Rattus norvegicus: one gene and its partners. Each later gene encodes a partner of the first gene's protein in a complex. Links are inferred from orthologs where the notes say so. Each region holds a gene or a part of one and is shown in the gene's direction. Other genes may lie near its edges.

Region 1 (3,646 bases):
ACCACAGCCATTGACGTAATCCCAAAATGCAAGAAACTTTGGCCCAATTTGTCTGTCACTCGGACGTTGCTTAATTTTTGTTATTTCTACTTACATGGTGACATTATAAACATTCCAGAAAGCAGAAAACGGTGAACTGTCTAAACCCTCTTAAAGTCCCTGCTGGGCCACCTATACCACTCTGCCTGTTTCCAGGTGTCCGAGTCTGTACTCTCTACAGGGCAAAGGGCAAAGTTCATCTCACGGGGGTTGTAAGTGTGGTTTCTAGGCTGAGGAAGTGGCTCAGTTAGAAGAGCGTTTGCCAGACAGGCCTGAAGGCCTGGGCTCCTCATATCCCACCAGTTAAGTGCACTGGTTTCATGACTGTAATTACAGCACCTCAAAGGCAGAGGAAGCAAAAACTAAAGGCCATCCACGGCTATGCAATAAATTTGAGGCTGGCCTGGGACAAAAAACAAAACAAAACAAAACAGGAAAAGAAAAGAAAAATTTAAAACGTATATGATTCGTTCTTAACTTTAAAGAAAAAAATCTGTAACTGGGCTCACATCTGTAATCCCTGATTCTTGGGAAGCTGAGACAGAGGGATTATGAGTTTGAGGCCACCCTGAGCTAAGCAGAGAGGAACCATCTCAAAAAGCATAAACACATAAATCCAAGCTGGGCAGATGATATTGAAAGCCTCGTCCCCACACCGCCTTGGGGCAGCGTCTAGGAGCCCACCTGAGCCCGTAGTTGTCACCTGCAGATGTCGAATTTCCCGACCTGCTTTTTTCCTGGCATCGTATGATAAATAATATCCCCGAACCAACTGCAACATCTCCTACCCTGTTGGCCTATTTTTCAGGGCAGAGACCGAGAGAGGCCTTTCCCGGAAGCACATAATCGAAGGTGAGGAGGGACTCTAACCATGGTGTCCCCGGCACATGACTAAAGCTAAGAAGTGTAGTGGCTCACCCTTTTTTTTCAGTGATCCAGCCCAGGTCTCGACCCTGGGGTACACTGAGCCCTCCTTTGGCCATCCCTTTCTGCTCCAAAAAGATATGAGGTGTGGGGAGGGGACCTGCAGAGGGTGTTCCCACTGGCCAGATTTTGGGGCAGGCTGAGTATGTGCTGACTGAATGGTCTTACGGGAGAGCCAGCACCTCCCTGAGCTTGTGTCAAAGGGTCTAGAAAGCAGGGCTATGAGGGTATACCCCCGACTCAGGGCTGCTGGGAATAGCAAAATGCTGCCCAGAGTGGGGGTGACTGGATGACGGCTCTACCATCCTCGAGTCACATTTCCTCTAAGTAATATTCTTTATAACGAACATCATAATGGGGGCTTTGGTACCTGGCCCTCTCACCTCAGACCCAGCTTTCACCCTAGCTGTTGCTCCGGGCTGTTGGGAGGTCAGTGGCTTGTGTATGCCCAACACCAGCAGCCTTACGTACAGTTAGTTAATACTGCACCCTCCTTGTGTGGTACCATAGCCAGCTCTGCTAGTTGCATAGAGACCACCAGGTCCTGAGAGTGGCCCAAAGGGCATGTATCCATTTGGTCTCAGGACATTTGACCAGTAGCTCCTCTGACATCCTCTGGAATGGCCAGCATGCCCACTCCCTTTAGGATGTGCCTCATGTCTTGGCATCTCCTTGGGATACTCACCTGCCCTAAAGCTCTACATGACATGAGCCTGCCCTCACCCCTCTCTTGCCCCCTGAGCCAAGTCCAAGGGTGGGTCTAGAAACACAAACAGCTGACCCTCCTGCTCTTCTCCCAGGACTGAAAGCTTCCCTGGAGAGGCTGCAGCTGGAGTACGTGGATGTGGTTTTTGCCAACCGCCCAGACCCCAACACACCCATGGAAGGTAGGTCGACCAGTTATCCCCCTTGCCAGTTCAGGTCAACCAGTTAGCTCCCTAACCACGCAGAGCAGAACCAATTCTGAAGTTTTGGTAACTGTCAAGCACACCCACACTCAGCACTCAGGACAGAGGTGGCCAGGCCCCCGGGTTGGGGAGGGATGGCCCCAGGCACTAATCTTGTTCTGTGAACTGGTTGTGTCCAGGACTTCTCCCCTGGCTGCGTTCTCTTTGCTCAGTGGTTGGTATTTTGTGCAGCGGTGTCTGTCGGGGACCACTGAACTCTTTCATTCTGGATTCCCTGGGAGGGCTTAGAGGTCTTCTGCTCTAGTGGGGTCTCATTGCCTGAAGGAGACTGAGCACTCGGTGCTTTGAAGAGCTAGCTGTCTGGGTTTCTTTAGCGTTTATTTATCCCCTCCGATGCCCGGTCCCTCCATCTCTCCCACCCGCTGCCTCGGCATCTTCTCATTTTTGCTTCGCTGCTTCAGGGACTTGGGAGGTTAAGTTGAACTGGTTATTACGTCTCCATTTGCTTTTATATATATACTGCACTTGTGTGTGTGTGTATATATATATCTATATCTCCTTTCTTTTTAACAGAACTCTGTTCTGTGCGATGATTTGTGCCCTTCTGTCCTGCCCTTTATCATACCAGGCCTCTGTGTTCCCACAGCGATAAACTCTGGTCTCTTTAAACCTTTCTTTTATCAGCAGGGGACCCATTTAGTTCCTTCAAGTCACGGACATTCATCATTGAAGGTACACAGTACCCTCATCCGACTATTGACTCTGTGTCCGAGCTGCATTTTATGAGACAGTACTTTTATTCACGACGCTCCGTCCCCCGCCCCATGACAAACTTCTCCATAAAATGCATAAGGGGTGGGGAACGTGCCCCTGTGAGGACATCGTGCAAGCAAAGCGAAAGCAAAATGGCATCCGAGCCCCTTGTTGTCCATCCATGCTGCCATCCCCATCCCCTCCCTCCCGACGTGCATGTTTCTCCCCACCCACCCCCCCAGCTCCATGCTTGCGGTGCCGTGACCTGATGAGGCCGGCTGGCTTCCTGCCGGGGTCTTCTCTTGATCTGAGGATGCTCCTCCAGTCCCTGCCTGGGAAGTTGACCTTGGATGATATGATAGGGTTTCCAGAAGGGTCCTGTGACCCCTAAGAAGACTTAATCTATCTCATAGCTCACACTTGTTAAGCTCTAGCCTCCAACAGAGGAACAGAACACCAGCCAGCAAGATACCCTGCCTACCATGCCGGTTCCTTGTGAGTGCCCTGGCTCTGTGGTCACTCATGGCTGCTCATGTAGCAGCCAGGACACTCTATCGAAATGGAGTGATTCTCTTCCTTGGAGAATATGTACATGAGTTGGCATGGTGCCAAGGCCCAGGGCATTCTTGGGCCATGCTTGGTATCTGCCTCCCCCACAATCAGCAGAACCGTCTAGAACTGCACCTCCAAGGGTAGCCATTTGTCCCCCTAGGAGCTGGGCAACATTCCAGCTGCCTGCCACCTGGTGCTGCCACCTGACCCCTCCTATGTATTATTTGTGACGCTGCAAAGATGCCCTGGGTTTTGGCTGCAGCTGGAAGGAGCTGGCACCGCTGCTTCTGTCCAGCAGTATTAATTATTGAGGTGAAAGACTGCCGTCCCTAAGTGTCACTATTTCAGGGTCCACTGACATGTTGGAGTGCAGTGCTCCAGAACATGTGTCCAACATCTAGCCTGCCTCTGCCCACATCCCCCAGGTGCCTAGGTCCCCCCACCCCTCAGAACAGCCGGTCACACCAGAC
Region 2 (3,695 bases), on another chromosome or scaffold:
GCATTCCAGGCGCTTTCTCAGGTTTCTGCTGATCTTGCAGCGCCCAGAAATGGACCGAGCGGACCTGCGGCCACACGCTCCCTGCCCCACTCCAAGCTGCTGAAGGCTCGCGGCGCGCCGCGGAACGAGGTCCGTGCTGTGGTACGGAGAGTGCAGGTTACCCGAGAGCCATGTAGAGCCAGGCTTTGAGCCGCCCGCCTCCCTCGGGATCGAATCAAGGGCTCCCGTAGTGTTCGGAGGGGGCGAGAGTGAAGCTTATCGCCATTTGCTTGGGTGACTCGGGAGAAGGTGGCCTTTTTGTTTTTCCACCCCGCATCCTCCGGGACTTTCTGCCCCAGACAGAGGACAGCATCTCCTGTTTGCTTGCACCGTGCGAGAATGGGGGTAGGGTACGGACGTTTCCTCCGTAGCTGCTCGATAAAACGATCGGACTCCTGAGAGGAGAAGGACGCGAACCGCCAGGGGCCGGAGCCTCTCGCGTGCTGCTGCGGTGGTGGCGGCTGCTCGCTCCGGCTGCTGCAAAGGCGACCTGCCGCATTCAGACTCTCCGCCGTCTCAGTACCGCCTCTGCGCCAAGCCGGTCCGCCAGGTAGGAAGCTCCCTAGTTCGGGGCTGCAGAATTCGAGATAGGGGTGACAGGGTGGGGGAGGCTGAGGGTGAGGGGTTGCTGCCTAGGACCCGCAGCTCCTCCAGTATCGCTAAGCGCTTTCCCGATCTCCAGTTTAACGGAGTTGTAAACAGATCGGCTGTTGGGCGTTGGGAAAAGTGGGATGGAAGATTTCCAAACTTGGATTTCTGGGTGTCTGTTGTGTGTCTGTCTGTGAGTATGTGTTAACCCCAGTAAAAGTCCGGTGTGTTCTACAAAAGGTGGTAGTCTGTGCTCTTCGGTGTCTTTAGGTTCGTCCCATCCGAATGCTTCTGATTTTCTACCCTCGTATCACTTTTTATTTCTCCGCAGCGTCCATCGATCGCCCCGGTGGGAGCTTAGAAGGCGGCAGGCGAAGAGGGGTAGGAGGGGGGAGAGCCAAGGAGCAGCAAAGTGGGTGCCAGGCCCGGGGATCTGCTGAGTTGGCACTGCACCGGGTCCTAGGAGGGCTGCAGGAGGGGAAGGGAGCCGGGGCGAGCCCCGAAGTCATGGCAGGTGTGCGTTAAGACAATCAGATCAGGAAGAAAAACCCATTCACCAACACAAAAACAGAGCACCCCCACCTCAAAAAAAAAAAAAAAAAAGCTTCACTGGGGGCCCTTAGGCGAGAGGAGTTTCCAAATTGGGTAAAAGGCAGAGTGGAGGAGGGGAGGTGATAATTAGCAAAGTTGTAGACCTCTGAACCTTCTGGGTCTGAAGCCCCTCCCTGTGAGCGTGGGGGAGACTCACTCTCCGGTGGGGGGGCCGTTTGGGTCCCCCCCACCCCTACTCCCTCGCTCCTTTACACCCCGGGCTCTCTCCTGGCCTCCTACCCCTGCACCCTGCATCCATCATGACGGTGATGTCAGGGGAGAATGCAGACGAGGCTTCGGCCGCTCCAGGTCACCCCCAGGATGGCAGCTACCCAAGGCAGGCGGACCACGACGACCACGAATGCTGCGAGCGCGTGGTGATCAACATCTCCGGGCTGCGCTTCGAGACGCAGCTCAAGACTCTGGCCCAGTTCCCCAACACGCTGCTGGGCAACCCGAAGAAACGCATGCGCTACTTTGACCCTCTGAGGAATGAGTACTTCTTTGACCGCAACCGGCCCAGCTTCGATGCCATCCTTTATTACTACCAGTCGGGGGGGCGCCTGCGCAGGCCGGTCAACGTGCCCCTGGACATGTTCTCCGAGGAGATTAAATTTTACGAGTTGGGCGAGGAGGCCATGGAGAAGTTCCGGGAAGATGAGGGCTTCATCAAGGAAGAGGAGCGCCCCCTACCCGAGAAGGAGTACCAGCGCCAGGTGTGGCTGCTCTTTGAGTATCCGGAGAGCTCAGGACCTGCACGGGTTATTGCCATTGTATCCGTCATGGTCATCCTCATCTCCATAGTCATCTTTTGCCTGGAGACTCTCCCTGAGCTGAAGGATGACAAGGACTTCACGGGCACCATTCACCGCATCGATAACACCACAGTCATCTACACTTCTAACATCTTCACAGACCCTTTCTTCATTGTGGAAACCTTGTGTATCATCTGGTTCTCTTTTGAGCTGGTGGTGCGCTTCTTCGCCTGCCCCAGCAAGACAGACTTCTTTAAGAACATCATGAACTTCATCGACATTGTGGCCATCATCCCTTATTTCATTACCCTGGGCACAGAGATAGCTGAGCAGGAGGGGAATCAGAAGGGCGAGCAGGCCACTTCCCTGGCCATCCTCAGGGTCATCCGCTTGGTAAGGGTGTTCAGAATCTTCAAACTCTCCCGCCACTCCAAGGGCCTTCAGATCCTGGGCCAGACCCTCAAAGCTAGTATGAGGGAGTTAGGGCTGCTCATCTTTTTCCTCTTCATTGGCGTCATACTGTTTTCTAGTGCAGTGTACTTTGCGGAGGCGGAAGAAGCTGAGTCGCACTTCTCCAGTATCCCCGATGCTTTCTGGTGGGCGGTGGTGTCCATGACCACTGTGGGATACGGTGACATGTACCCTGTGACAATTGGAGGCAAGATCGTGGGCTCCTTGTGTGCCATCGCTGGTGTGCTGACAATTGCCCTGCCCGTACCTGTCATTGTGTCCAATTTCAACTATTTCTACCACCGAGAAACTGAGGGGGAAGAGCAGGCTCAGTTGCTCCATGTTAGTTCTCCTAACTTAGCCTCTGACAGTGACCTCAGCCGCCGCAGCTCCTCTACTATCAGCAAGTCTGAGTACATGGAGATCGAAGAGGACATGAACAATAGCATAGCCCACTACAGGCAGGCTAATATCAGAACTGGTAACTGCACCGCAACTGATCAAAACTGCGTTAATAAGAGCAAGCTCCTGACCGATGTTTAAAAAAAGCACCAGGCAAGCAATCAAAAGCCCCCAAACAAAACCCTTGGCGACTCCTGTCCCACTCTGTAGATACTTTACTAAAACCGTAGTCTTTGAATGCTTTATTTAACTGGCAATGCACTGTTGCATTGTGAATTTGGGGGGTGGGCAAACCTGAAGCTTTCAAGATCACATTTAAAAAACAAAACCAACCAAACAAGCAAAAAGAAAAAAAAAACCCAACAAAAAATATAAAAACTCAACCCAACCCAATAACCAACTATTTTCATTTTTATTTAAAAAATGAGAAAAGAAAGAGGATTTTCTAAAACGCTGCCCATGAAGTAGTCTGTGTGAAATAAGACTCATGCTTTCCTTGTACTGAAGTTTTTCCAATCTTTTGGCTTAAGTTGTTTTGTTTGTTTTTTTTAAACCTAAAAATCAGATGACCACTTAGGAACATAAAAATTCAAATTTGCATGGAACTCCACTGTAAAATTTTTGCAAATTGCACAGCACATGTCAGATAGTGTGCCCCGTGGAACACCATGTAACAGCCTCAGTGGTCAGTGGGGGGAAAAATGCTTTTATTTTGATCAACTGAATTGCATACAAGGCTAACAAAATCCGGACTCATTAAGAATGGTTCAGAAAGCACCTTGCAAATCTGTTACTGGTCCCAATCTGTTGGGATTTTCCATCTGCCCCGTTCTCCTAAATCCCAGTCTATTCTCTAAGAAAAGGGCAACT
Region 3 (3,958 bases), on another chromosome or scaffold:
TCCCGGGATCACGATAGGGTCCCGAACTCAGAAGTATCTCCCAGGAGCAGACGGGAATAAATACAAAGCATCTCTTGCTGCGGAATTCAACACAATAAACAAATGCTGAGTCCCCGTGATTTCCAAGGTGCTCTGACAGTTGCTGACAGTAGAAGTTGGGCAAGCCCTCGTTGCCATAGAGTTTGGTGGTTGGGGGAGGTGGTAGGAATGACAACAAATCACTCTTGCATCAAATTGAATTTTCAGCTCACTTCGGAGAATGAGTGGTGTACGTCTAGACAATAGTTCCTCTTTCGCAATCAACAGTAATGATTCAAGGGAAAAACAACAGAATTTTGTAACTCTGGTACTTATACTTGGGGTAGCTAAAATGTTTGGGAACAGAAATTATGTTTAAAGCAACCAGTACACTTTGAAGAAACAGTTGGGGGAGGGGGTGTAAATGTTTTTCTGTAGGCCCAAATCAAGCAAGAGAGGCACCATCTGCAAAATGAAGGCTTTTTCCACATTATCAGCTAAAGCACACCTCAAGCTCCCTACCACACAGGTGTCATGGTATTAAGTAAACTCTAGGTATCAGGCCTGTTTATCACACAGTAAGGTGTGGTGAATTTTCGTTACCACCCCCCCCCCTTATTTTTCCCACTGTCCTGACCAGAAACTTGGCCCTGATTTTATAATGCTTGCCCACACTGAGCTAGCATTATAAAAGTGAGATCTCTGAATGCCTTTAAGGACCCTCTTTTTAAGCTACTGGGAAGACTTTAGACCCTACGTTACCCATTAACTCAGTTCTGCTTCCTTACAGCATCAACACCCAGGTTCTAGCATTCTTCTACCCCAGGATGCTGGGCCCAGAGTATCCTGAACTAGCACAGACAACCTAGCTTGCAGCCCCTCCTCCCAAGACACTCAGGGTCAGGAGGCTCAGCCAGCCCTGGCCCTCGTGCTTAGGACTTTTGTTACCTATTCTGGTGGAACTTGCCCTTCCTGCTGCCCAGACAAAGTATTAAAGAGTGTTAAGGACCAGGAGGGCCTTCGAGTGCTGAGGTGTGGTCCTTGCGCGGTTCTAATAGCCCTGAGATTAGGACTCGACCACGCGCAGGAAGGGAACGCGCGCTGACCAGGGGCGAGCAAGTAGAGCCCAGGAACGTGGTCGGGCGGCCGGGTTCCTCCAAGGCCAGTCTGGCAGGGTAGGGGTTCCGCGGGGTCTGGGTAGTGGGGTGCAAGTCGAAGGCGACCCAGTGACAAAAGAAGGGCGAGGAACAGGGGTGGCAAGCGGAAAGCGGAGCGCGCGCGCGCAGTGGGCGGGAAACCCGGGGGCGGCGGCAGAGAGGCGGGCGCGCGCCTCGCGGGGAGGGGTGCGGAGGAGGGAGGAGGAGGCGTCTGGACGGTGCAGCCGGGCGGGCCGCGCCAGCCCTGACAGAGCCTCGCGGCAGCCGCAGCAACAGGCGGCGGGGCCGGGCTCGTGGGGCAGAGGCGGTGGTGGGGCGGGGAGCTCCAGGAGGAGCGACTCGGAGCTGGCCACCGCCAGCAGGGAAGGAGAGCATCGCCGCCTCCCGCGCTCGGCCGCCGCAGCCCTCCGCCCGCCACCGCGCCCACCCTGCGCTGGACCCCGCGGGCGGCGGCGCGCGCATCCTGCAGAGCCCAGGCTACGCCGAGCTGCCGCCAGACATGACCGTGGTGCCCGGGGACCACCTGCTGGAGCCAGAAGCGGCGGGAGGCGGCGGCGGGGACCCGCCTCAGGGAGGCTGTGTCAGTGGCGGCGGCTGCGACCGCTACGAACCGCTGCCGCCCGCGCTGCCCGCCGCGGGCGAGCAGGATTGCTGCGGGGAGCGCGTGGTCATCAACATCTCCGGGCTGCGCTTCGAGACACAGCTCAAGACCCTCTGCCAGTTCCCTGAGACGCTGCTAGGCGACCCCAAGCGGCGCATGCGATACTTCGACCCGCTCCGCAATGAGTACTTCTTCGACCGCAACAGACCCAGCTTCGACGCCATCCTCTACTACTACCAGTCCGGGGGCCGCATCCGCCGGCCGGTCAACGTGCCCATCGACATCTTCTCCGAGGAGATCCGCTTCTACCAACTGGGTGAGGAGGCTATGGAGAAGTTCCGTGAGGACGAGGGCTTCCTGCGGGAGGAGGAGCGACCTCTGCCCCGCCGTGACTTCCAGCGCCAGGTGTGGCTGCTCTTCGAATACCCCGAGAGCTCCGGGCCGGCCCGGGGCATTGCCATCGTGTCAGTGCTGGTCATTCTCATCTCCATTGTCATCTTCTGCTTGGAGACACTACCCGAGTTTCGCGACGAGAAGGACTATCCCGCCTCTCCGTCGCAGGACGTGTTTGAGGCTGCCAACAACAGCACGTCGGGGGCCTCCTCTGGAGCCTCCAGCTTCTCGGACCCCTTCTTCGTAGTGGAGACCCTGTGCATCATCTGGTTCTCCTTTGAGCTGCTGGTGCGATTCTTTGCTTGCCCCAGTAAAGCCACCTTCTCCAGAAATATCATGAACCTGATAGACATTGTAGCCATCATCCCTTATTTTATTACTCTGGGCACTGAGCTGGCTGAGCGACAGGGTAATGGGCAGCAGGCTATGTCACTGGCCATCCTGAGGGTCATCCGCCTAGTAAGGGTCTTCCGCATCTTCAAGCTCTCCCGCCATTCTAAGGGGCTGCAGATCCTGGGACAGACACTGAAGGCTTCCATGCGAGAGCTGGGGCTGCTCATTTTCTTCCTTTTCATTGGGGTCATCCTTTTCTCCAGTGCAGTCTACTTTGCTGAGGCAGACGACCCTTCTTCGGGTTTTAACAGTATCCCGGATGCCTTCTGGTGGGCCGTGGTAACCATGACAACTGTCGGTTATGGTGATATGCACCCAGTGACCATAGGAGGCAAGATTGTGGGCTCTCTTTGTGCCATCGCAGGTGTCTTGACCATTGCATTGCCGGTTCCTGTGATTGTTTCCAACTTCAATTACTTCTACCACCGGGAGACAGAAGGGGAAGAGCAAGCCCAGTACATGCACGTGGGAAGCTGCCAGCACCTCTCCTCTTCAGCAGAGGAGCTCCGAAAAGCCCGGAGTAACTCCACTCTGAGTAAGTCGGAGTATATGGTGATCGAAGAGGGGGGTATGAACCACAGCGCCTTCCCCCAGACCCCCTTCAAAACGGGCAACTCCACTGCCACTTGCACCACCAACAATAATCCCAACTCCTGTGTCAACATCAAAAAGATATTCACTGATGTCTAATAGATGATACGATTGCCATTCTGTGCCCAGTATTGTGTGGAACATGCCCCCTTGGTCTGTGTATGCCCTTGATTTATACATTTCCAGACCATTCATCAAGGAAAGTACATGAAGAAGTGGAAAAGCACACTTCATTCTCCCTCTCCCTATTGCTTCATACTGAAACAGGTGCCTGGTTTTGCAAGTGGGCTGCATTCTCTCAGCTCTTTTTCTCTCTCCCTCTCTCTCTCCCTGTTTCTTAATTTTGTGAACAACAAACTTACATTAAGCTTGGTTTCTTGTGCAAGCCCTAAAGCTACATCCTGAGAGGAAATGAAACTATAGAGTCAGAGTAACTGTGTGACCTCAAAAATCAAAAGATAGTTGTTTCTTTACTAAGTAAAGGAGGCAGAACTTAAATGATGCTCCTGTTCGGTGGACTTTTCAGCATTATTTCCTGACTAAGTGTAACTACTTAACCTCTGGATGTGTGGGTGGAAAGTCTAACTAGAGTGTTGACGTGTAAACCCTCTATAATTTTTTTTTTGGACTGGCCTTTCAGTATGAATCTCCCCTCTAAGAATTTCAGGTTCACAATAACTTTGAACCAAAAGGGAAATGCCCCAAATGTCCTGATCTGACTATTAACTCTTCGGAGTTTGCAAAGCATTTTGAAAACATTAGACACAGATTCCAATGAAGTTGTGAGTTCATGCCCAAGTCAATA

Evidence for each region.
Region 2: the proteins of Kcnab2 (region 1) and Kcna1 are in contact, whole or in part, in a crystal structure (PDB 1EXB), measured with the Rattus norvegicus proteins. Residues at the interface, in NP_059000.1 of Rattus norvegicus: Met196, Tyr199, Ser200, Arg203, Glu231, Lys235, Ile236; in NP_775118.1 of Rattus norvegicus: Glu37 (codon at 1,587), Met70 (codon at 1,686), Phe73 (codon at 1,695), Asp74 (codon at 1,698), Pro75 (codon at 1,701), Leu76 (codon at 1,704), Asn78 (codon at 1,710), Tyr80 (codon at 1,716).
Region 3: the proteins of Kcnab2 (region 1) and Kcna3 are in contact, whole or in part, in a cryo-EM structure (PDB 7EJ2), measured with the Homo sapiens proteins. The link is inferred for Rattus norvegicus from reciprocal best matches to the Homo sapiens genes KCNAB2 and KCNA3. Residues at the interface, in NP_001186789.1 of Homo sapiens: Met196, Tyr199, Ser200, Arg203, Glu231, His234, Lys235, Ile236; in NP_002223.3 of Homo sapiens: Pro133, Met137, Phe140, Pro142, Leu143, Asn145, Tyr147.

The regions. Positions count from the first base shown.
Region 1 is NC_086023.1:168,190,662-168,194,307, reverse strand, and holds part of Kcnab2 (voltage-gated potassium channel subunit beta-2), read left to right. Parts: intron 1-847; coding exon 848-891; intron 892-1,763; coding exon 1,764-1,850; intron 1,851-2,555; coding exon of another isoform or gene 2,556-2,603; intron 2,604-3,646.
Region 2 is NC_086022.1:161,155,024-161,158,718, reverse strand, and holds Kcna1 (potassium voltage-gated channel subfamily A member 1), read left to right. Parts: upstream 1-1,444; 5' UTR 1,445-1,478; coding exon 1,479-2,966; 3' UTR 2,967-3,190; downstream 3,191-3,695. UniProt on the Homo sapiens protein: Voltage-gated potassium channel that mediates transmembrane potassium transport in excitable membranes, primarily in the brain and the central nervous system, but also in the kidney.
Region 3 is NC_086020.1:197,318,904-197,322,861, forward strand, and holds Kcna3 (potassium voltage-gated channel subfamily A member 3), read left to right. Parts: upstream 1-1,420; 5' UTR 1,421-1,674; coding exon 1,675-3,252; 3' UTR 3,253-3,374; downstream 3,375-3,958.